Linked DNA regions of Stegostoma tigrinum. The protein of the gene in region 2 purifies or fractionates together with the protein of the main gene of each other region. This does not show direct contact. Links are inferred from orthologs where the notes say so. Each region holds a gene or a part of one and is shown on either strand. Other genes may lie near its edges. The genes, in order: fam83d, transcription regulator protein BACH1-like and hmmr.

Evidence for each region.
Region 1: the proteins of transcription regulator protein BACH1-like (region 2) and fam83d purify together in Homo sapiens (co-immunoprecipitation; 3 studies listed by BioGRID and IntAct, counting the BioPlex papers as one, with this or other methods). This does not show direct contact. The link is inferred for Stegostoma tigrinum from reciprocal best matches to the Homo sapiens genes BACH1 and FAM83D.
Region 3: the proteins of transcription regulator protein BACH1-like (region 2) and hmmr purify together in Homo sapiens (affinity purification with mass spectrometry; 6 studies listed by BioGRID and IntAct, counting the BioPlex papers as one, with this or other methods). This does not show direct contact. The link is inferred for Stegostoma tigrinum from reciprocal best matches to the Homo sapiens genes BACH1 and HMMR.

What each region holds. Positions count from the first base shown.
Region 1 is NC_081372.1:13,696,191-13,703,746, forward strand, and holds the start of fam83d (protein FAM83D), read left to right. Parts: upstream 1-4,501; 5' UTR 4,502-5,018; coding exon 5,019-5,492; intron 5,493-7,556.
Region 2 is NC_081365.1:60,821,485-60,829,180, forward strand, and holds the start of transcription regulator protein BACH1-like, read right to left. Parts: upstream 3,039-7,696; 5' UTR 2,948-3,038; exon of another isoform or gene 2,882-2,947; intron 1-2,881. UniProt on the Homo sapiens protein: Transcriptional regulator that acts as a repressor or activator, depending on the context. Binds to NF-E2 DNA binding sites. Plays important roles in coordinating transcription activation and repression by MAFK.
Region 3 is NC_081366.1:12,723,654-12,731,251, forward strand, and holds the start of hmmr (hyaluronan mediated motility receptor), read left to right. Parts: upstream 1-4,502; 5' UTR 4,503-4,569; coding exon 4,570-4,615; intron 4,616-7,598. UniProt on the Homo sapiens protein: Receptor for hyaluronic acid (HA). Involved in cell motility. When hyaluronan binds to HMMR, the phosphorylation of a number of proteins, including PTK2/FAK1 occurs.

The DNA.
Region 1 (7,556 bases), on a different chromosome or scaffold from region 2:
GAGATGATGTGTGTACCTACTGCCTAAACTCCAAATATTATTTTCTGGAATAACAAAGTGTGAAGCTGGATGAACACGGCAGGCCAAGCAGCATCTCAGGAGCACAAAAGCTGACGTTTCGATGAAGGGTCTAGGCCCAAAACGTCAGCTTTTGTGCTCCTGAGATGCTACTTGGCCTGCTGTGTTCATCCAGCTTCACACTTTGTTATCTTGGATCCTCCAGCAGCTGCAGTTCCCATTATCTCTGATCATTATTTTCTGGGACTGTTTTGTGGACAGTACATTGGCACAAGGTTTTAACCAATTTAGTTCTTCCCTGTTTATTTTCATCCTGTTCGTGAAACTGTGTCAGAGCTTAACACTAACTCTGGTGAGTAAGTAACCCACCTTTGTGCAACATTTTGAGGAATGAATATTTGTTCCCACCTCAACTTCCCCCTTCAAGATGGGAGGCAATGCACTAAATGCTCTGTAACCTCTGTCATGGATATAAGTAGGTAAGTGTGGTTTGGGGGCAACACAGCATCTCAGGCAAGGGGTGAGACAAATCTTGCAGCAATAGGCTTATGTATGCAACCCAGAGAGGAATGGAAATAATAAATCAACAATCCTTTCCCTTTCTAATAATCCAGTTGTCAAATAATAGTTTATTGTGTCATTAAAGTATCACCTAGAATGATAAAAGCAGCAGGTACATAGGAGTGCCACCATCTGCAAGTTCTTCTCCAAGATCCACATCATCCTGACTTAGAAACGCAGCAACAGGAGAAGGACATGTCAAGCCCACTGCACCATTTAATGTGATAATAGTTAATCAAATACTTCAATGCCTTTTACCCACAATGTCCCCATAACCCTGCATACCACTCATGTCTATCTCCCTCATTCCTTCAAACTCAAGAGAATACAGGCCCAATTTGTCCAGTGTCTCTCAGTCAGACAGTCCTGCCATCCCAGGAACAAGTCTGCTGTACTCCTATTGCATTCTCTCTCTCTGCCAATGATATCCTCCCTCCGATAAGGAGACCAAAACTGCACACAGTATACCAGGTGCAGTCAGATCAAGCTTCTCTACAATTCTATACAATTGAAGTGAGACTTTACTACTGCTGTATGCAAATTCTCTTGCAATAGGTCTGCCATTTCATTAGCATTCCTAAAGGTTTGCTGTACCTGCATGTTAGCCTTCAGTGACATATTGATAAGGACACCTACTACCAGACAAAGGTCCCTTTGTACATCTACACTTTCTAACCTTATTATTTAAAAAATATTCTGCGCATCTGATCCTCCTACTAAAGTGGATAATCTTACAGTTTTATTATGTTGAGGTGATGGCCTAGTGCTATTATTGCTCGAATATTAATTTGGAACCCCAAGTAATATTTGGGGGACCTGGGTTCAAACTCTGCCAAGGCAGATAGTGGAATTTGGATTCAATAAAAATCTGGAATTTAGAACTCTAATGATGACCATGTTAGGGGAAAGCCCCATCTGATTTGTGAATGACCTTTAGGGAAAAGAAACTGCTTTCTTAGGCTGGCCTACATGTGACTCCAGACCTGCAGCAATGTAGTTGACTCTTGACTGCTCTCAGCAATTAGAGATGGGCAATAAATGCTGGCCATGTCAGTGGTGCCTACATCCCATGAATAAAAGGGGAAAAATATATATACTCTCTCAGCCATGCTCTTGCCCAGCCACTGCTTTACATCTTCACAACACACTATCCCACTTATCTCTGTATTATCTGAACATTTGGGAATATTACATTTGGTTACCACGTCCAAATCACATATATACTTCGAGCAGCTGGGACACAAGTACAGATCCTGGGAGTACCCCACTAATCAGAGTCTGCCAACATGACCATTCTAGAGTTTTATTTCTGTTAAATCCATCCATAATTAATGTGGATGGACATTTTGGTTGGCATGGACCAGTTTGAGCTGAAGGGCCTTTCTCTGTGCTGTAGGACTCTATGACTCTTCTGTCATGTTTTAAGTCTAATTGCCGAGCGAATATTTTTGTGCAGATGTTTGATTTCTCATTTCTCTGCGTCATCTAGGTCGGGCAATTGTCTTGATCTACACCTGACCACGTTAGATGTCAGTGATAATGGGAACTGCAGATGCTGGAGAATCCAAGACAACAAAATGTGAGGCTGGATGAACACAGCAGGCCAAGCAGCATCTCAGGATGAAGGGTCTCGGCCCGAAACATCAGCTTTTGTGCTCCTGAGATGCTGCTTGGCCTGCTGTGTTCATCCAGCCTCACATTTTGTTGTCACGTTAGATGTCTGCTCCTTTCGGCACTGCAGCAACTCCGGGGGGAGGGGGGGATCTTTGTCAATCACTTCTTGGACAATTTAGAAATGTGGTAGGGAAGTTTGATGACCTTTATTGTCTTCTCACAATGGTGAAATGAATCAAAGTCACAATGTTTACAGTTAAATTTGATTATATTTTGTTCAGTATAAATGAGAGTTGTTGCATTTTGGTATCTGGAGGGCATTGTTAAGTGCAGCAGTGTTATTTTTTATGCTTTGGACTTAAGTGTAACTTACATATAATTCATCCATGGCCTTTCTGGTAAGTGGCGCGTCTGGGAGTGCGTGCCCTGTCTCGGCTCCATTCCGTTGTGGTGGTCGGTCTGCGGGATGGTCTTTGATGTCTGGCTGGCTATCCCCCTTTCCCTTTCCAGTGGATTCCTGTATGCATTTCGTTTCGCGGGGGGGGGGGGGGGGGGTTATGGGCACTGAGTTGACTCGGCGGCAGGGTATTGCGGAGGCTGGAAGGTGTTGGACCGAAGGCAGAGGGTGCTGAAGTTGTTCGGCGGGTTTGTGGTGAAGCAGCGTTGACGTTTTGCATTTCTTCGGTACTAAAGGAAGAGATGGAAGTGTGGTAGGCTGTATACAGGGAAAAAGGTGGGACAGAAGGAAGGCCCCAGAATGATGGAAGGTGGAGATCATAGTTGTCACAGAAAACAGAGCAAAGGGAGATGTGATAATTATATAGATGAGAGATAACATATGGATGGGGTAGTGTAGGGGGAGGGGCTTAGATTAGTTCACAGGTCGGTGCAACATCGACGGCCGAAGGGCCTGTTCTGCGCTCTATTGTTCTATGTTCTTGGTTCTAAAATCCATGACAATACATCACCTCCTATCCCAAGTAATTTTCAATTTAGCTAACCAATCTCCTGTCTGAGACCTTACCAAAAGCCTTCTGAAAATCCCAGTATACTACTGCTTTTGATTCCCCTTTATCAGTTTTGTGAGAGCGTCCTCAACTCCAAATTGGAACTATTTTGCCATTCCTTCACTATCACAAAATCCGAGAAATCTCTTCTACAGCGCTGCGGGTGGCCCTCCAACGCAATGCTTGTGATGGTTGAGGGAAGTGGCTCAGCAGCACTTTTTTTTCTAGCGTAATCAGGAACCAGCAATAAAGCAAAGCCCAAATTCCCTTAATGAATTTAAGAAAACTGACCTCGGCGTAGTACAATATATATTAGGTATGCAAATACTGCCCACTCTGCTGGGGAGATTTCCTCACGTAACCTCCAATGACCCACCCCCACACTCTTGCTATTGGCCTATTGTCCAGGAGCACCGACTTTCGACAGCCAATTGGAGACTTTCTGAGCCAATTGGTTGTTTAACTTTAACTGTTTCACTAGCTCCCAACCATGCAACCATCTTGTTAGCAAATAAACTTGAAAATGTCTGTGGGGTCGCATTAGCAGTGTCCTCTTGAGCCAGGCTTCAAGACCCACCTGTTCTACAGATGTATGTCTGAACAGGTTGTTTAAAAAAATCCCTACCTCTGGACTATCAGCCATAGAAGTCGTCATTGGACAAGCATATGGACGTACATGGAATAGTTAAGTTAGATGGGCTTAAGATGGGTATGACAGGTCGGCACAACATCGCGGGCCAAAGGGCCTGTACTGTGCTGTAATGTTCTATGTTCTATGTTCTATAACATGTCTAAACAGGTTTAAAAAAAAGTGATTGTGCACCTATTCAAAGAAAATGAATAATAAGTTTCATTAAAATCACTGTGGATAATCGCCAGCAGATGATTTTCTATCCCTGGCCAATCCTGGAGGGTTGGTGATATCAATTTTATAAACAAAGAAATTTCTGACAGAGATAGTAGGAGCTGCCGATGCTGGAGAATCTGATATAACAAGGTGTAGAGCTGGATGAACACAGCAGGCCAAGCAGCATCAGAGGAGCAGGAAAGCTGACGTTTCAGGTCTAGACGCCTCCTCTGATGCTGAGATAATAAAATGTGAGGCTGGATGAACACAGCAGGCCAAGCAGCATCTCAGGAGCACAAAAGCTGACGTTTCGGGCCTAGACCCTTCATCAGTCTCTGGTTGGATCAGACATGAAAGTACAAGTTTGCAAAGGAGTGATGATTCTCTGTGTGTGTGTGTGTGAAAACAGACTGTCAGTGAGTGGGCGGAGCTTTCCCAGCTGTTTTTGGATGAATTTAAACCTGTAGCCAATCGCGATGGGGCTGTTGTCAAAATCCGTTAAAGAGTAAAAAGTAAGGGAGAGTCCTGAGCTGGTGGGATTGGGAGAAGTAACCGGGAGACTGGTTAGACAGCTCTCGCAGCAGCCAATCGCTTCTCGTAGTCTGTGTTTGAATGGACTGTTGGTGAATTTCAATCGTGGGGAACGGGAAGAAAATATACGGCGAGTCAAGGAGCGCGGCTGCTTTTGTAACAAGGGATTTTCGAGACTCGTCAAGGAAGACTCTAAACTTCTGTCTGTGCAAAACTAATTCTGGGCGTGCAAGCCGGCAGAAGCCCCCCCCCCCCCAATTCTGGGCGTGCAAGCCGGCAGAAGCCCCCCCTCCCAAATTCTGGGCGTGCAAGCCGGCAGAAGAACCCCCCCAAATTCTGGGCGTGCAAGCCGGCAGAAGACCCCCTGTCCCTGGAGTGAAGGGAGCGGTGAAAGCAGGCTCTGGGTCTGAAATCTCCAGCTTTACCTGGGACCCTGGACCATGAATGATTCCCAGTGCCTCGATGACCTGCCGATCGTGTCCAGGTGGTGTGGTGCTGCCAGGCAGGAGCTGGGACTGAGAGAGTTTTATAGCGAGACCCAGCGCCTGGCTTTGGAAGAGCTGATCTCCGGCGGCGAGGAGGCTTACAGCGCCTTACTAAAGAGAGAGAGAGTCCAGGGCTTCCTGTCGGCCGATGAGATCGCCAGCATCCTGCAATCCACCATCAGCCCCCCTGGGCTAGACAGCCAGCCACTCGAGCAATCCTTCACCTGCTCCAGTGACCTAAGCTCGGGGACCTATTTCCCCGATGCCTCGGACATTGAGGTGCCGGTTCTGGACATTGGGTGGCCGGTGTATCCGAGCAACTGGTACCGGGGTGTGACCCAGGTGGAGGTGTATTTCCAGCCCAGCTATGGGGAGCTCATCTACAGCTGCAAGGAGGCGATCAGGAAGCTCATCAGAAAGGCAGAGAAGGTAGGTTAGGGGGAATATGATTAACCTGGTACTTTCCATACCCGCCCCTTGCGCGGATTTGTTTTTCATTTTGGACGTTTCATTTCAATCTAGATTCTCTTGTATGTTGAATATTTAATACATGTTAAATGCCAAAGATAGAAACTTACTTTTTCCAAAATACAGAGCTATATTTTAACAGAGTTAATCTAGCCAGTGGAAGGAAAGGTTGAGTGACTGGAAACAGCCAGCAGTGTTGTTTGGATGGTAGAATGGATACGGTGGAGTTCCCCAGGGTTCGGTTTCAGCACTTTCTTTGTTCTATATTAAGACCTTTGTGCAAAAGACTGTCAGATACAGCGTAAAATTAGAACTCTCCAGTCCTGTAATGATTAGGATTTCTTGCTGTTACCATTACACCCAGGGTTGGATTCTTGTCCAGGCAATGATTCCCCACAGTTTACACAAAGTCTTTGTGTAATGTCACTGCCCTTGTAATACAGACCTTGCACACTCAGGATTAAATAGATCCCAAGCCCATCACAGCAGCTGGGAGCAATTCAAAACCAGTGGCTAAATCTGAAAATATGAAGCAATGTTTAATGTAACAGTGACCGCTCCATGGTCATCCGTCCATTGGAAAAGCCTTCTTGTTTTGGCCTACATGCAATGAGGCTGAATCTGAAATTTCAAGCCGTTCAGTTCAAGGGGAATTTGTGGTAGGAAAATAATGCAAGCCTTAACACAGGGTCTCACATCCCCTTCGAAGAATAAAGAGGGGAAAATGTTCAAAGACAATTAAAGCTAAATGCCAGGAACAACTTGGCCATAGCCTGAGAGTTGAGGCCAGACAGTTTGAGAGATGTTAAGAACCACCTCTACACAACCAGGGTGTCAAAGGTTTGGAGCTCTCTTCGACAAATAGCAGTGGATGCTGGATCAGCTAATTTTAAAACTGAGATAGATATGTTTTTGGTAAGTAAGGGGATGTGGTCTAAAGACAGTTATAGGGAGTTAAGTCAGACATTGGCTGCTATCTCATTGAATTCTGGAACAAACTCAAAGGGTTGAATGGCCTACTCCTGTTTCTATGTTCCTATAAGCTTTTTTTTGCACTGTATAATATTCCAAGAGGTTCAGAATCAAGCCTGAAATTTCTTCAGAAGGTAAATATTTGGGAAACATTTGTACTGAGATTACTAATAAATGTGAGGAATTTATATGATGGCGATAGAACTGTTCTGGTTGATAATATATTGGTTCTAGAGTGGGACAAATAAGCCACTCCTGCTGATCTGTTCTATTTGTTTCATGAAAAATTTGTTTTCACTAGTAGCTTGGGTACTGTGATTTATTGTCTGTGCATTTAGACGTAGTAAGATTGCAGTGAAAACATGTAAAGACAGTGAAAGGCTGACCTGTTATTCAGTGCCCTGATTAATTGATGACCGTCTTGAGGTGCAGTGGTAGTGTCACTATCCTTGGACTGAGGGGCCCAGGTTCTAGTCCCACCTGCTCCAAAGGTATGCAATAACCTTTCTGAACAGATGGTTTCGAAAAATAGGTTAATTGATGGTCCAACAGATCCTGTTGTGCACAACAAGGTCAGAACTAAATTTTGTTGCTGACCTAGAAACTATTGTTCATTTAGTCATTTAACACCTGCAACGGAATAAGATAGGGCTCAGGTTTCTTGTTCACTGTGACTGCTTTTAATGTTTGCCCAAACCATGAGTTTTGGATGTTAGATGTTCAAATGATATTTGCATGTTTTTAAACACTGAAGTTAATTGTTCTGTGCCTCAGGCAGGATGAGTACAGACAGAAATTTTCTAACTAAAAAAAGTATAAAATTTTACAGATGCACGAAATCTAAAAAAGTAAAGAATGCACAAAGGGAGTGCTGATAAGTTATGCCGTACTTTTTTTTAGAGGGAATAAATGATTTAACTATTGGTAGCACCCTCCCCTCTGAGCCAAAGAGCTGAGAGTTCAAACCAGGCTCAGAAAAATAAAGCACATAATCTAGGGCGATGTGCCCAGAGCAATACCAAGGGAGTACTGCATGTTCTAACACAGACTCAG
Region 2 (7,696 bases):
CTTCCTTCCCACCATAAAATATTACAACTATAAAATAATGCATTGAAAATCATCTTGCAGCTGTTTCAGAGACAGTGCAATATGAGGGGTGGAGAATAATTTAAAATAATTTGATATAAATGATTATAATTCACCCACAATGTGATTGGTCTTTTCAAAGTCAAGAAGTATGTAATTTTATATTGTTTTATGGGTGAGAAAAATTATAGCTTACAAAATTCATAATGAGGAGCAATCAACTAATATGACAGGATCAATGCCTGCAATTTGTTTCTGACAACGAAACAGATTTGCTCATAAAACACAATTTACAGATTGTGAAAACTGCACGCTGAAAGTAATGCTCAGAGTTACTCACTTATCAGACATGATGATTTAGATAGGGAAAAATTACATAACAGCACTTAAAAGTTTGATTTCGATGTTCCTTTTCTTCCTCCAATACCCCTTCCCCATCTGCTCTCTCACCAAAGTCCAATGGCAGAAAAAAAATTAGCATTATAGTCTCAGTATTAGTCATACAGTACTGAAACAAACCCTTCAGTCCAACCAGTCTATGCTGGCCATAGTCCCAAACTATGAAGACTTGGAAAGGGGGAAAGAAAGAGAGAAAAGGAAATTAAAACATCTAAGATCTCAATAAGTTGAAAGATTCTTCATCTTCAACATGATAACATTTGTAGAAAGGTTTAGGTGATTAAATTGTATTGGCTACAATTATAAGCCAGTACCTAAAATATTGTTAGTGCAATCAGTTTTTGAGTATGCTGTTTAACAACCTGTGGCCTCAGCACCCAGAGAAAACTAAGTATTCTTATGTTAACTGGAGAAAGATCCAGAGCAACCCAATGGAATTAGAAATAAATGCTAGAAGTCAAATATGATGCACTACAAATTAGAAACCCAGTTAAACCAAAAGTGTTTCAGTTTTACCATTTAAAAAATACACTGAAAATTAGTTAGTTAAGAAATGACTTATAAATTAGTACAAAAAAGAAGTGAGAGAATGTATATAGGAAAGATAGATGACCCGTTGATGAGATATCATTTGGGAGTTACAAAATAACTCATTCAAGTTGCTGCAGCATTAAAAGGAAATAGCAGCAGAGCAAGCAACAAAGCAAAGATGAATATAGCCAAATTATGATGAAATTTTGGGGTTAGATTCAATCTACAACCAGAGTCTGGAAAAAAAAGCACCAATTTGCAAACATATTACAACACTACAGATTGAGGGGAGTGAATGGACACAAATAAATGAAAGTTACAGAAACCTTGTGATAAATTTAGCTTTCCATAATTAATTACTAAACCAAAGTAAAGTTGGATATAAAAGTGGATTTAACATAACACAAAGCAGAAACATCTTAGGCTAGAAACAAATTGAAAAGGTGAATACTGAACTTAGGTTCAAGCCTCTTGCTAGAATCGGTAAGGGGAAGAGATTAGTTATTTAATAGTCTGCAGGTTATTCTGGCTCGGAGGCAGGACAAATAATAAGAGGTAACACTTGGGTTCAAAAAAGATTTAGATCTTTCAGGTAATTCAGTATTTTACATTAAATCTGCATTAAACTGGAATAAGGAATTGAATAATAGAAGAATCTATTTGATGGAACAGTAATATTACATATTGATTAGGAAAAATATGCAGGGCATTGAGAAAGTGGATAAGTAAATAAAATTACTTGTAATTGAATTGATCAAAAAAATCTATTTTGTTTATTAATGAGCAGTCCATCTGGAGTAGTGTACTCTGATCATTCAAACACGAGCACTGACACATGAATAAAGTTGATTCTGTAAGTTAAGAGTTAAAGCTACAAAGAAGTTGGATTTCTTCTCATATAAACAATTTAATGAATATAATGTCACGATATTTGTGTTGAGGTGGCATTAACAAAACGCTTGAACTACTGCCATATATATCTATTATCCCTCTCCAGACTGTGGCGTACATCTGAACTATTGGAATGGTTTAATTCAATGCTGTTTTGCAGGGCAGTATGCAATTTAAAGAACACCCGATCTACTTTCTGCATACAACGAGCGTCTCTACAATCTGCTCACAGAGATAGTATTATCAACTGAACCGTAGATGACAGAATCATCATTTCAAGAAGTATTAACCATCTGTGCTACGCTGAATCTTTACATACTGTAAGCAAAGCCCAGGTACAAGCACGAAGGATAAGTGATGACCAACATTTGCACAAGTCATTTTGGCTACAAACGAGTGTTGTATATTTAAACCCCTCTCTTCGAGGTGAATTGTTCATCTGTTTTTATAACTATATGTAAGAATCATCTGAGGTTAATAACGACCGGTTGACAGTGTTTTAACATTAAAGCCCGAACCTAGAAGCTGGGAGACAAGTCCGATTGCACTTTACTAAATAGGAATATAGGCTGCTGGTCAGGCATCTAACGTAAGAACGACGATGGCAGATTCGCCCACCCTCAAGAGAAGAAATGTAGAAGCTCCTGACGAGGAAGTTAACATATGTTCAGGAAGTTGAACACCATGACAAATTTGATCATCTCCATGTTACAGCACACAGAAAACAAAAACAAACTTCTTTTAAGTTTCGGGCGGGGGGGCTGCGGTGGAGGAAGTCAGGCTCCGGGAGGTTTTTCGTGGAAGACGGAGTCTCCCAGGCTCAATGCGGGAGCCTGATCCACAGCGGCGCTCACAGGGTCCGGGAGCCGCTGCAGTTGCCGCGGTGGTGCTGTGTGTGTGTGTGTGAGTGTGTGTGAGAGAGAGAGAGAGAGAGAGAGAGTCGGAGCGGCCCGGCCCATTCCCAAAGCAACAACCCCTCAGGCAGTCACAGCAGCGACGGCCACCCCGCCCCAACCGAACCCACTCCAACATACCCCCTCACCTTATACACATACCGCCAAAAGAACACTCAAACACTAGACCAACGTGACCCAGGTTCCTCACTCACCGCTGATCAGGCTCAATTTTCTTCCTTTTTTCCCCCCCACACAGGCTCCAACCGTCCACTACCCGCCCCCTCACGTGACCACTCCAAACACCACAGCGGCGGGGCTGCAACCGTCGGAGTTCCTCCTCCCATCCTCTGGGTCCGTCCAATCGACGGACCTTTCACTTGACGCTGCACGCCCATTGGTCGCGGTTGACAACCGTCAAACTGTGTCCTCGACCCGGATTTCGTCAGCTAGATGATGTCATCGTCCACCAGAGAGTCGAGGAAACTTGGCCGAGGCGAATGGAGGGAGAGAGATAGACAGACAGACAGAGAAAAGGAAGGGAGGGGGGGAGAGAGAGAGGGGGAGGGAGAAGAGAAGAGAAAGTGTGTGTGTGTGTGGAACGGAACTGTGGAAAGCACAAGACAGTGTAAAGAGAGGGAAACTGGGTGGGGGAGTGGAAAGCGATGGGGTTGAGTGTGGATGGGGAGGTTGAAAAGGGAGGGGAGAGTGTGGGTCGGGGGACATGAGTGAGTGGAAGTGTGGACAGAGATGTGGGAGAGAGAAAGGGATTGGTGAGAGATGGTAGAAAGATCGTACTGAAGCAGATTGAGAAATGGGTTGAGATTGAGGAGCAGACAGAAAGGGTTGGAGAGACTGGGGAAGTGGAGAGTGGATGACAGAAAAGGAGTGATAGGGGCGAGGGAACAAGGGACGGAGATATTGGGAGAGGGGAAGGAGAGAACGTGAAACATGGTGGAAAGATATAACGTGGAGAGAGGAGGAATGATAGAGAGGAAGGGAACAGAGAAAGGGAGACAGGCGCGGTGGATGGATTGACGACAGAAGAGAGAAAAATGAAGTGAGAGATGGTGAAAAGACAAGATGGAGAGAAGGAAGAGGGATGGTGAAACGAGGGGTAGGAGGAGGACTGGATGAAGGGAAGCTGAGAAGGAAGAAACGATAATAGCGTCTCAGTTTTACAGCCAACGGAAAATATTGAATATATTTGAAAGTGTAATCTCTCAGCTTGATAACAAATCTCAATTTCTCACACGTAGCAGTTTGATAACAATCAACTGATTTATTTTTGTGATAAAGGGGTAAATGGACAAAATTTCAGCCATATTTAACTCAAAATGTAAGGTATATTTCTCTCCACAGATACTGTCAGATCTACTGAGTTCAGTTCATTTTTTAAAATTTCGAATTTCCAACATTTGTATTATGCTTCTATGTTATTGATTATTTTAATGTTAATTGGGGAAAAAGAACCTGGAAACAATTCCCCAGGTCTTCAAAAAGTGCATTAGGATCTTTTATGAAAGGGCAACCGTGGGTCTCTGTTTTAAAGTTTCATTGCAAGGTTGGTATCTGGGATGGTGCAACGGTCCTCCAGTACTTCAGTAAAGTGACAGCTTGGATTTTTACCAAGTCTGCAGTGAAACTTGAACTCTAACTCAGAAGTGAGAGCAATCAACTGAGCCCCGACTGACAGAATTTGGAATAGTGCGATGGAAAGGCGGAATAGGCGAGTGCAAAGAGGATTTGGGGAGAACAAACAAGGAGGTGTGGAAAGATGATTTGGCTGTGAATGCACCCAGTGTTCTGTCACTCCGCCCAGTGTGCGCCTGTTTAACAGCGTGCTGATGGTAGCTTATACCTTTGTTTCTGTTTCACTTAAAAGCTGGAGAATTGCAGCAGGCGGAATCGAATAGCTGTTACTAATCATAAGTCAAAAAGTACACAGAGTCTGCTAATGCCTGGGGAAGTGAGATTTTTGTTTGGGACATGAGTGCGCTGGTTATAACAGTAAATAATCGGATCATGTGGATTGTAATTGACAGTGAGCGGTGTCACCATTAAGCTGCTGGAGACGCCTCTTTCATTCATACAGATCGATTGACATTTCATACGTGGAACAATTAAACAGGTTAGGACAAAGCTCGTGTAATTTCGATGTGGGAGTGTGCACCGTACAAAGCTCCAATTGCTGAAAACTCTATGTTCATGTCCAAAAGCCAGTTGAGCCACTGCCCTGAAACTGGGTAGGATTTCCTTTCACAGAAGTGGTATGTACTTTGACGTGTGATCATTGGGATCGTTTAACGTCTCATTTCTCAACTGATTCGCTCAAGCATGTCGTGAAAGATTATACTCAAAAGAGCAACAACAACCGCGTGCGTAACTTAGTGTAAGGTACTAATGCCAGCCAAAACTGTGTAACTGATTTACAAACCACAATATCTCTTCTCGTTAAATCACAATACCTTTTTTTTTCTTTAAACTACACACAGAACCCTCATAAAATCGTTTGTTATTTCGACCTTCAATACTGGACATCACAGTGACGGCCAGGATCAACAGAGACTTAGAACAAAATAACTTTCGCACAGAGGAGCTAATCAGCCCGTCAAATCTATGCCAATTCCTTTAAAGAGCAATCAGTTTATCCCAATCCCCTAATCTTTTCTCATATCAATATGGATTTTTTCTTCAACTATTTATCTAATTCCCTTTTAAAACCTGTATCAGCCTGTACATCAGTGTATTAGTGTGTTATTTTCCATTTTTTGCTTCACCGACACCTGGGATCCTTCTAGGGGCTGGGTGCAAGGGACAACACTGCATGTGGTCAAAGCTTCAGCCTTCTCTCTCTGCGATGTGCCCCTGGGCAAACAGCGGTGAATAGCAGAATAAAGCAGCAGGGCTGCATAAAGGGAAGGTTTCACTGTTTGTATCCAACAGGTAATAAAGGATCTAATGAAACATCTGTATATAAGCATGTCCGGAATGTATCTCTTTGGACCCTGTTTGTATTTTCTTGGGTGTTTCATCACACATCACCTGGTTAGCAGCCTCAGTCTCATCCTCATTGTTAGAACAGGTTTTCTGGTCCACTATGTTCTTATTGTTCAATGCCTTCACCTCTGAAAACTCATTTTGTGCAGTGTGTGATTTGCTGGATGCTTGCTGGGGCACAGTGAAGTGATCCACCAGAACAATTGACGTCCCTCATCGCAACTTCAAGGAAGCAAAAGTTTGCTTGATGGTACCACAACTTTCCCTTGGCAGATGTTGGATAACTCCATGGGTTCCCCACAGAAAGGAATAACCATCTCTGCAGTAGATAGCCCTTTTCTCCAAGTTTCCACTCCTGGAAGCAAAGTGGAGACAAAGCTGAGTGGAAGTAGGTGTGTGTGATGGTTGCTTCCTGTGAAATTTTTTTTCAGGCCCTGATTGTTTTTTTTTAAATAAAGAACATGTGAACAAGGGAACAGGTGAGATGGAGTTTCACCTGCATCTCCTCCAATGTAATCTATCGCATCTGTTGCTGCCGGTGTGGTCCTCTCTACGTCGGTGATGCCAAACGTAGACGAGGTGATCATTTCACCGAGCAACTCTGCCTGGCCTATAACAGCCAACCTAACTTCCCGGTCACTGCCCAATTCAATTCCTCACCCCACTCCCCTTCCGACCTGCCCGTCCTTGGCTTCCTCAGTGTCTCAGAAACTTGGAATACAAATTTGAAGAACGACACCTTATCTTCCGCCTGGGCACCCTACAGCCCAGAGGACTCAACATTGAGTTCCCTAATTTCAAATAACCTTCCCACCATCACCCACCTCATCTTCCACTGCCACCTCCTCTCTTCCATTCCACCTTCTGACCCTTCCTTCCAGCTACCAACTGGATTCATCCATCCCATTAACCAACCAAGTCATACTACCATCAGTATCCACCTATCACCACCATTCTACTCCACACCCCCATCTCTTTATCTGCAGTTCCACCTACCCCCACATCCAGTCCTGAGGAAGGGTAATACCCGAAACATTGACTGCTCTTTTCCTCCAGATATTGCCTGACCTGCTGAATTTTTCCAGCTTCTCGTTTGTCAGCCAGATTCTGTACTGCCTAATTCTATAATACCGTGAGTGGATATTTTCCTCCAGTGGGGGACCCTGGAAGAGAGGAGGGGGTGAGACCATGAGACGAGAACCTTATAGTAAATGGGTTAACGATGATGATGTTAATAGCTTGAGTGATGCCAAGATGATGTCAGATCACACCTTTCTAGACTTTGGGGACATATGGTTCTGGTGGAGTTTGGCCAAGTTCTATCCTGTAATTAATGTCAATAATCAGTCCATGATCACTAGCTGCCCCAAGGTGCTGTCCAGCTCTTTACTGAAGACAACCAGAACCCAGTTGTGATAACAATGCAAGCCAAACCATTTAGCAATAAATCCTGGAACAAAGTCACTGACAAAAATTGCTCAGAATATGACACAGTATCCCCTTAATGGCAACACATCCTGGTGGCCCATTTAAATAGGTTTACACAAATATTTTGGTCTTAAGAGTCCTGCAGATGACAGAAATCTGAAACAATAATTGAAAAGTGCTAGAGAAACTGTGCATCTAGCAGCACCTGTAGATGGTGAAATAGAGTCAACGTCCAGCTTGACTGACTTTTTCATATTAACAGATTTGCAGTCTGGTCTTTTGCTTTTGTGGGTGAGAGTTGAACTTTTAATCTTTGCTTCTCAGACCTTGCTTTTGATGTGAGATCATCTTCAATGTCATTCCTGAAAGACAGAGGTGAAGTTGAATATTAATTCAGAGTGGAACGTCGCTTCCCTCCTTCAGGCTCTGTCATAAAACTGGCTGGATGGAGATTGTGCGTTATGTCTACAACTTCTGGTTTCCTGAGAAAGTGCTGATTTTGTATTGAGACCATGATTTAATCTTGGAATGTCTCA
Region 3 (7,598 bases), on a different chromosome or scaffold from region 2:
GGGGTGAAGTGTGGAGGGTCTCCAGGTCCAGGAGGTGTGGGGGTGAAGTGTGGAGGGTCTCCTGGTCCAGGAGGTGTTGGGGTGAATTGTGGAGAGTCTCCTGGTCCAGGAGGTGTTGGGGTGAAGTGTGGAGGGTCTCCTGGTCCAGGAGGTGTTGGGGTGAAGTGTGGAGGGTCTCCTGGTCCAGGAGGTGTGGGGGTGATGTGTGGAGGGTCTCCTGGTCCAGGAGGTGTTGGGGTGAAGTGTGGAGGGTCTCCTGGTCCAGGAGGTGTGGGGATGAAGTGTGGAGGGTCTCCTGGTCCAGGAGGTGTTGGGGTGAAGTGTGGAGGGTCTCCTGGTCCCGGAGGTGTTGGGGTGAAGTGTGGAGGGTCTCCTGGTCCAGGAGGTGTTGGGGTGAAGTGTGGAGGGTCTCCTGGTCCAGGAGGTGTGGGGATGAAGTGTGGAGGGTCTCCTGGTCCAGGAGGTGTGGGGGTGAAGTGTGGAGGGTCTCCTGGTCCAGGAGGTGTTGGGGTGAAGTGTGGAGGGTCTCCTGGTCCAGGAGGTGTGGGGATGAAGTGTGGAGGGTCTCCTGGTCCAGGAGGTGTTGGGGTGAAGTGTGGAGGGTCTCCTGGTCCAGGAGGTGTTGGGGTGAAGTGTGGAGGGTCTCCTGGTCCAGGAGGTGTGGGGATGAAGTGTGGAGGGTCTCCTGGTCCAGGAGGTGTGGGGATGAAGTGTGGAGGGTCTCCTGGTCCAGGAGGTGTGGGGGTGAAGTGTGGAGGGTCTCCTGGTCCAGGAGGTGTTGGGGTGAAGTGTGGAGGGTCTCCTGGTCTAGGAGGTGTGGGGATGAAGTGTGGAGGGTCTCCTGGTCCAGGAGGTGTGGGGGTGAAGTGTGGAGAGTCTCCTGGTCCAGGAGGTGTTGGGGTGAAGTGTGGAGGGTCTCCTGGTCCAGGAGGTGTGGGGGTGAAGTGTGGAGGGTCTCCTGGTCCAGGAGGTGTTGGGGTGAAGTGTGGAGGGTCTCCTGGTCCAGGAGGTGTGGGGGTGAAGTGTGGAGGGTCTCCTGGTCCAGGAGGTGTGGGGATGAAGTGTGGAGGGTCTCCTGGTCCAGGAGGTGTTGGGGTGAAGTGTGGAGGGTCTCCTGGTCCAGGAGGTGTTGGGGTGAAGTGTGGAGGGTCTCCTGGTCCAGGAGGTGTGGGGATGATGTGTGGAGGGTCTCCTGGTCCAGGAGGTGTTGGGGTGAAGTGTGGAGGGTCTCCTGGTCCAGGAGGTGTTGGGATGAAGTGTGGAGGGTCTCCTGGTCCAGGAGGTGTGGGGATGAAGTGTGGAGGGTCTCCTGGTCCAGGAGGTGTGGGGGTGAAGTGTGGAAGGTCTCCTGGTCCAGGAGGTGTGGGGGTGAAGTGTGGAGGGTCTCCTGGTCCAGGAGGTGTGGGGATGAAGTGTGGAAGGTCTCCTGGTCCAGGAGGTGTGGGGGTGAAGTGTGGAGGGTCTCCTGGTCCAGGAGGTGTTGGGGTGAAGTGTGGAGGGTCTCCTGGTCCAGGAGGTGTGGGGATGAAGTGTGGAGGGTCTCCTGGTCCAGGAGGTGTGGGGGTGAAGTGTGGAGGGTCTCCTGGTCCAGGAGGTGTGGGGGTGACGTGTGGAGGGTCTCCTGGTTCAGGAGGTGTTGGGGGTGAAGTGTGGAGGGTCTCCTGGTCCAGGAGGTGTGGGGATGAAGTGTGGAGGGTCTCCTGGTCCAGGAGGTGTGGGGATGAAGTGTGGAGGGTCTCCTGGTCCAGGAGGTGTGGGGATGAAGTGTGGAGGGTCTCCTGGTCCAGGAGGTGTGGGGATGAAGTGTGGAGAGTCTCCTGGTCCAGGAGGTGTGAGGGTGAAGTGTGGAGGGTCTCCTGGTCCAGGAGGTGTGGGGGTGAAGTGTGGAGGGTCTCCTGGTCCAGGAGGTGTTGGGGTGAAGTGTGGAGAGTCTCCTGGTCCAGGAGGTGTGGGGATGAAGTGTGGAGGGTCTCCTGGTCCAGGAGGTGTGGGGATGAAGTGTGGAGGGTCTCCTGGTCCAGGAGGTGTTGGGGTGAAGTGTGGAGGGTCTCCTGGTCCAGGAGGTGTTGGGGTGAAGTGTGGAGGGTCTCCTGGTCCAGGAGGTGTGGGGATGAAGTGTGGAGGGTCTCCTGGTCCAGGAGGTGTGGGGATGAAGTGTGGAGGGTCTCCTGGTCCAGGAGGTGTTGGGGTGAAGTGTGGAGGGTCTCCTGGTCCAGGAGGTGTTGGGGTGAAGTGTGGAGGGTCTCCTGGTCCAGGAGGTGTTGGGGTGAAGTGTGGAGGGTCTCCTGGTCCAGGAGGTGTTGGGGTGAAGTGTGGAGGGTCTCCTGGTCCAGGAGGTGTGGGGATGAAGTGTGGAGGGTCTCCTGGTCCAGGAGGTGTGGGGATGAAGTGTGGAGGGTCTCCTGGTCCAGGAGGTGTTGGGGTGAAGTGTGGAGGGTCTCCTGGTCCAGGAGGTGTTGGGGTGAAGTGTGGAGGGTCTCCTGGTCCAGGAGGTGTGGGGATGAAGTGTGGAGGGTCTCCTGGTCCAGGAGGTGTGGGGATGAAGTGTGGAGGGTCTCCTGGTCCAGGAGGTGTTGGGGTGAAGTGTGGAGGGTCTCCTGGTCCAGGAGGTGTTGGGGTGAAGTGTGGAGGGTCTCCTGGTCCAGGAGGTGTGGGGGTGAAGTGTGGAGGGTCTCCTGGTCCAGGAGGTGTGGGGGTGAAGTGTGGAGGGTCTCCTGGTCCAGGAGGTGTGGGGATGAAGTGTGGAGGGTCTCCTGGTCCAGGAGGTGTGGGGGTGAAGTGTGGAGGGTCTCCTGGTCCAGGAGGTGTGGGGGTGAAGTGTGGAGGGTCTCCTGGTCCAGGAGGTGTGGGGATGAAGTGTGGAGGGTCTCCTGGTCCAGGAGGTGTTGGGGTGAAGTGTGGAGGGTCTCCTGGTCCAGGAGGTGTTGGGATGAAGTGTGGAGGGTCTCCTGGTCCAGGAGGTGTGGGGGTGAAGTGTGGAGGGTCTCCTGGTCCAGGAGGTGTGGGGATGAAGTGTGGAGGGTCTCCTGGTCCAGGAGGTGTGGGGGTGAAGTGTGGAGGGTCTCCTGGTCCAGGAGGTGTGGGGGTGAAGTGTGGAGGGTCTCCTGGTCCAGGAGGTGTGGGGATGAAGTGTGGAGGGTCTCCTGGTCCAGGAGGTGTTGGGGTGAAGTGTGGAGGGTCTCCTGGTCCAGGAGGTGTTGGGATGAAGTGTGGAGAGTCTCCTGGTCCAGGAGGTGTTGGGGTGAAGTGTGGAGGGTCTCCTGGTCCAGGAGGTGTTGGGGTGAAGTGTGGAGGGTCTCCTGGTCCAGGAGGTGTTGGGATGAAGTGTGGAGGGTCTCCTGGTCCAGGAGGTGTTGGGGTGAAGTGTGGAGGGTCTCCTGGTCCAGGAGGTGTGGGGGTGAAGTGTGGAGGGTCTCCTGGTCCAGGAGGTGTGGGGGTGAAGTGTGGAAGGTCTCCTGGTCCAGGAGGTGTTGGGGTGAAGTGTGGAGGGTCTCCTGGTCCAGGAGGTGTTGGGATGAAGTGTGGAGGGTCTCCTGGTCCAGGAGGTGTTGGGGTGAAGTGTGGAGGGTCTCCTGGTCCAGGAGGTGTGGGGGTGAAGTGTGGAGGGTCTCCTGGTCCAGGAGGTGTTGGGGTGAATTGTGGAGAGTCTCCTGGTCCAGGAGGTGTTGGGGTGAAGTGTGGAGGGTCTCCTGGTCCAGGAGGTGTTGGGGTGAATTGTGGAGAGTCTCCTGGTCCAGGAGGTGTTGGGGTGAAGTGTGGAGGGTCTCCTGGTCCAGGAGGTGTTGGGGTGAAGTGTGGAGGGTCTCCTGGTCCAGGAGGTGTTGGGGTGAAGTGTGGAGGGTCTCCTGGTCCAGGAGGTGTTGGGGTGAAGTGTGGAGGGTCTCCTGGTCCAGGAGGTGTTGGGGTGAAGTGTGGAGGGTCTCCTGGTCCAGGAGGTGTTGGGGTGAAGTGTGGAGGGTCTCCTGGTCCAGGAGGTGTGGGGGTGAAGTGTGGAGGGTCTCCTGGTCCAGGAGGTGTTGGGATGAAGTGTGGAGGGTCTCCTGGTCCAGGAGGTGTTGGGGTGAAGTGTGGAGGGTCTCCTGGTCCAGGAGGTGTTGGGGTGAAGTGTGGAGGGTCTCCTGGTCCAGGAGGTGTTGGGGTGAAGTGTTGGGGTCGGGGAAATGGATGGGGAGGTCAGAATTTGAAAGAATCTTTGCGGGGGTTGGAAGTAAACAGGGAATGTTGGGAGAACAGTCTGGGGAGAGTTACCATGGTGAAATGGTGGGGACAGTTACCACGGCGACAGGCGCTGAGCATTTCCATGGTGACGGCGTGATGGAGGATTACCATGGTAACAGTGGGGGCGAGGAACTCTGGTGGTCGGGGTGATGGTTACCCGGTTGATAGAGAAGAGGCCCGCCCCCATAACGGTCACGTGAGCGGACCAGGAGGCCGTTGGCGGTTCCCGGGCCTCTGATTGGTGCGCGGTGTCATGTGACCGAACATTCAAACGGCCGGCGGTTGGCGGGGGAGCCGGATCGAGTTATTCCATCAACTGACGGTCGCAGCTCTCGGACGGGACGAGACGGCATGTCATTCCCCAGAGCGCCGCTTAAACGCTTCAACGACAAAGTGGGTGAGTTGCGTTCCCGGGGCTCACAGGGAATCCGATCTCCGAGAACTTTCACTGTGTGTGGGTGAGTGACGGCTCCGCTGCAGGTTGAGGTCTGATCGCAGCCGCTGTCAGCTTTTTGTCATGTTCATGGGACGTGGACGGTCTTTGGCTGGGTCAGCATTTACTGCCCGTTCCCTATTGCTCCTTCAGAAGCTGCTGTTGTTTCCCACGTTCTGTTGGCCTGATGCACTTTGCCTGGTACGATCTGCACGCAAAACAAAACTTTTCACTGCACCAAGGTTCATGTGACAATGACAGATTAAATCAAAAGTATCTACTTTCCCCTTGTCCTTTTACATGGAAGCGAATGTTGGTTTGAGAAGTGCTGTCTAAGGATCTTTGTATTTCTGCAGTGCATCTTGTTGCTGGTACATACTGCTGCTACTGAGTGTCGGTGGTGGAGGGAGTGGATGCTTGTGGATGTAGTGCCAATCAAGCGAGCTGCTTTGTCCTGGATGGTGTTCCAAAAGTGATTGAAGGAGAAATTTCTCTCAATGGGAGGGTGTTGGAAATCTGCATGCAAGAAAAGCCCTTTGGCCCACTGAGTCTGTGTCTTGTGGATGATGCACACTACTGACTGGGGGTTGGTGGATGGAATGGATGCTTGTAGATATGGCGCTAGTCACGCAGACTGCTTTTTGTCCTGTTTGGTCCTGCACCCATCCAGGCCAGCATGGTGTAGGCAACTAAAGCGCCAGGCTGTTTCCGCCAGTTGTGTCTTCGCAGGGTCTTCAAGGACAGGTGTGCAAATTCCAATGTCCTGATTGAAACAGATTTTCCCCAGTCATGCGGTCATGGAGAATGAGGTTTGCTGGCTTATGCTGTGTCTACATCCCAAGTGATCAGCTTCTCAAGAAGGCCCACTTTTCACAGGTTAAGAATGACGTAAACTCTCACAGGACAGAATAAATGTCTGTGAGAACATTCTGATTTGTTGGTTTCATTTGACAGGATGATAGTGGGCCTTCCAGGTAGAGATAGAGATGGATCTCTACTTTGGACTTCTGGCTAAAGATGGTTGCAAATATATTTTGTATTGATTCTCTATCATTGAAAATGGAGATCTTTATGGAGCTTCTCCTTCAGTTAATTTACTTTTACACCATCATTCGTGTTGGGTGTTTGGCAGGACTTTGAGAATTTGGATCTGATCCAACCTGTCGATTGTGAGATCCTTTGCTTACTCAGTTGCTTGCTGCTTCAGCTAGGTTTGCATGTATGTGGTCCTTGGTAATTTCACTGCTTCAGCGTTTCATTTTTTGATATATCTTGTGTTGTTCCTGGTTGTGTGCAGAAAACATAATAAACAAGGCTCAGTCCCTTGCCTTGGTGCTATCAGTAGAGGGGGATGTGCTCGACCATTTGATCATAAATTGTGGCTAAATACAATTCTGTACTTCTAATAGCCTATAATGTCTCAATGACAATGGAGCTGCTAGATTTCCCTTAGTATTCATGGCCAGAGGAGCCCTCCACACCTCCAGTTGTTAACCCTCCGTCCCTTTATGTTGGATTGAAAGAATTCTTTTTGGGACTGCAAGAATTCCTTATAGCACTTCCTGTGCTGACACAAAAAACAGCATCAGATTATGGCTAGCATATACCCTTCAATCACAATCCATATTTCAGTAACAGCTTTTTAAAATGATGTGTCCCCATGTGTAACACAACAGTGAGCCCCAAGGGGATAACTTTGTACCATTGTCAAAAATTTTGGACAGAAGGAAATTTTAATTATCTTCATTCAAGAATGTCACTGGGGAGGACTGAGATTAGGCACAAGGATATTTTGTATATTCATACTTAAGGCAATGTTGATGGTGCTGTTTGAGTTGAACCTATGATGAAGTCAAGAAGTTGAAAGTTGGAGATATGAGGTTTGCATTGTGTCACAACTCGCTGAGGATAGTGCATTGTAATTCAAACCCATCTTTCCCTGAGTTGTCACAAATGTGAAAATTTGATTAAACCCCTGAATTGCCCAATTCTATTTAACTATAATTCAGGTTGACAGATTTAGCACACCCGCCTTTTCTATTAATAAGAAAATAATGATTGATCACAATAAAACTATTCATGACAATGGTAAAATGTTGGTTAGATGAATTTCAAACTGGATTTATAATTTATATAACTTAATCTTTAAAATATTCACTCGGGTGCACAGGGAAACAGACAAGACACAAATATTATCAATGGAGAGGAAAAAGAACATCAGGAACATAATTTTGTATCACAGGTCCAAGATCTTAAAACTAGATGAATTGGCTTCAGAATCCGTTTGAGTGTTTGATGATCAATTTGCAGTTCACTGGCGATTTGGTTGGACTCAGGTCTGTCTTGTTCCGGTGAACTTCAGTATTCGTCATTTTGACAGCTCTGAACATAGTTCCTCCTTGCTCTTTCAACAGAATTTGAGGATACAATTTTCCAGAGCAAGAGAGCGGACAGATAGGGAGATGTTGATATTGCAAGCTTTGGGCAATTTCTAATGTCTTCTGTTTTCATTCCCCTTAGGATCTGTTAGATTGCAACATGATCAATCAGAGGCTTTTTGCTATGCTGAGTTCACTTGACCCCATAACAAATTATGCCAATTGAAAAGTCAACCAAAGATAGATTGTCCAAGCAGAGTTGCTCCTAACACATCAGTAGAGCTGTTTCATCTAGGCATGGTCTTTCTAAAAGTAACATTGTAACATTTGTATCAATCACCTTCACTCATTTTCCAAATCTGCAAATAACTCCTTGTATATTCTCCCTTTTTAAAGTAGTGTGCATTTTTCTCATTTTCAGTCCATACTCAAAAAGATAAATAGGTGGGATCTCTTACAGGCAGTAGATGATTGGGGTTTATTTTGGTTAGTACTTGTGCACAATAATATTTGCTGGCCACTTACCAGTCCAAAAACAGCAGGACTTGGCTGGTGTCTTCTGGAAGTAC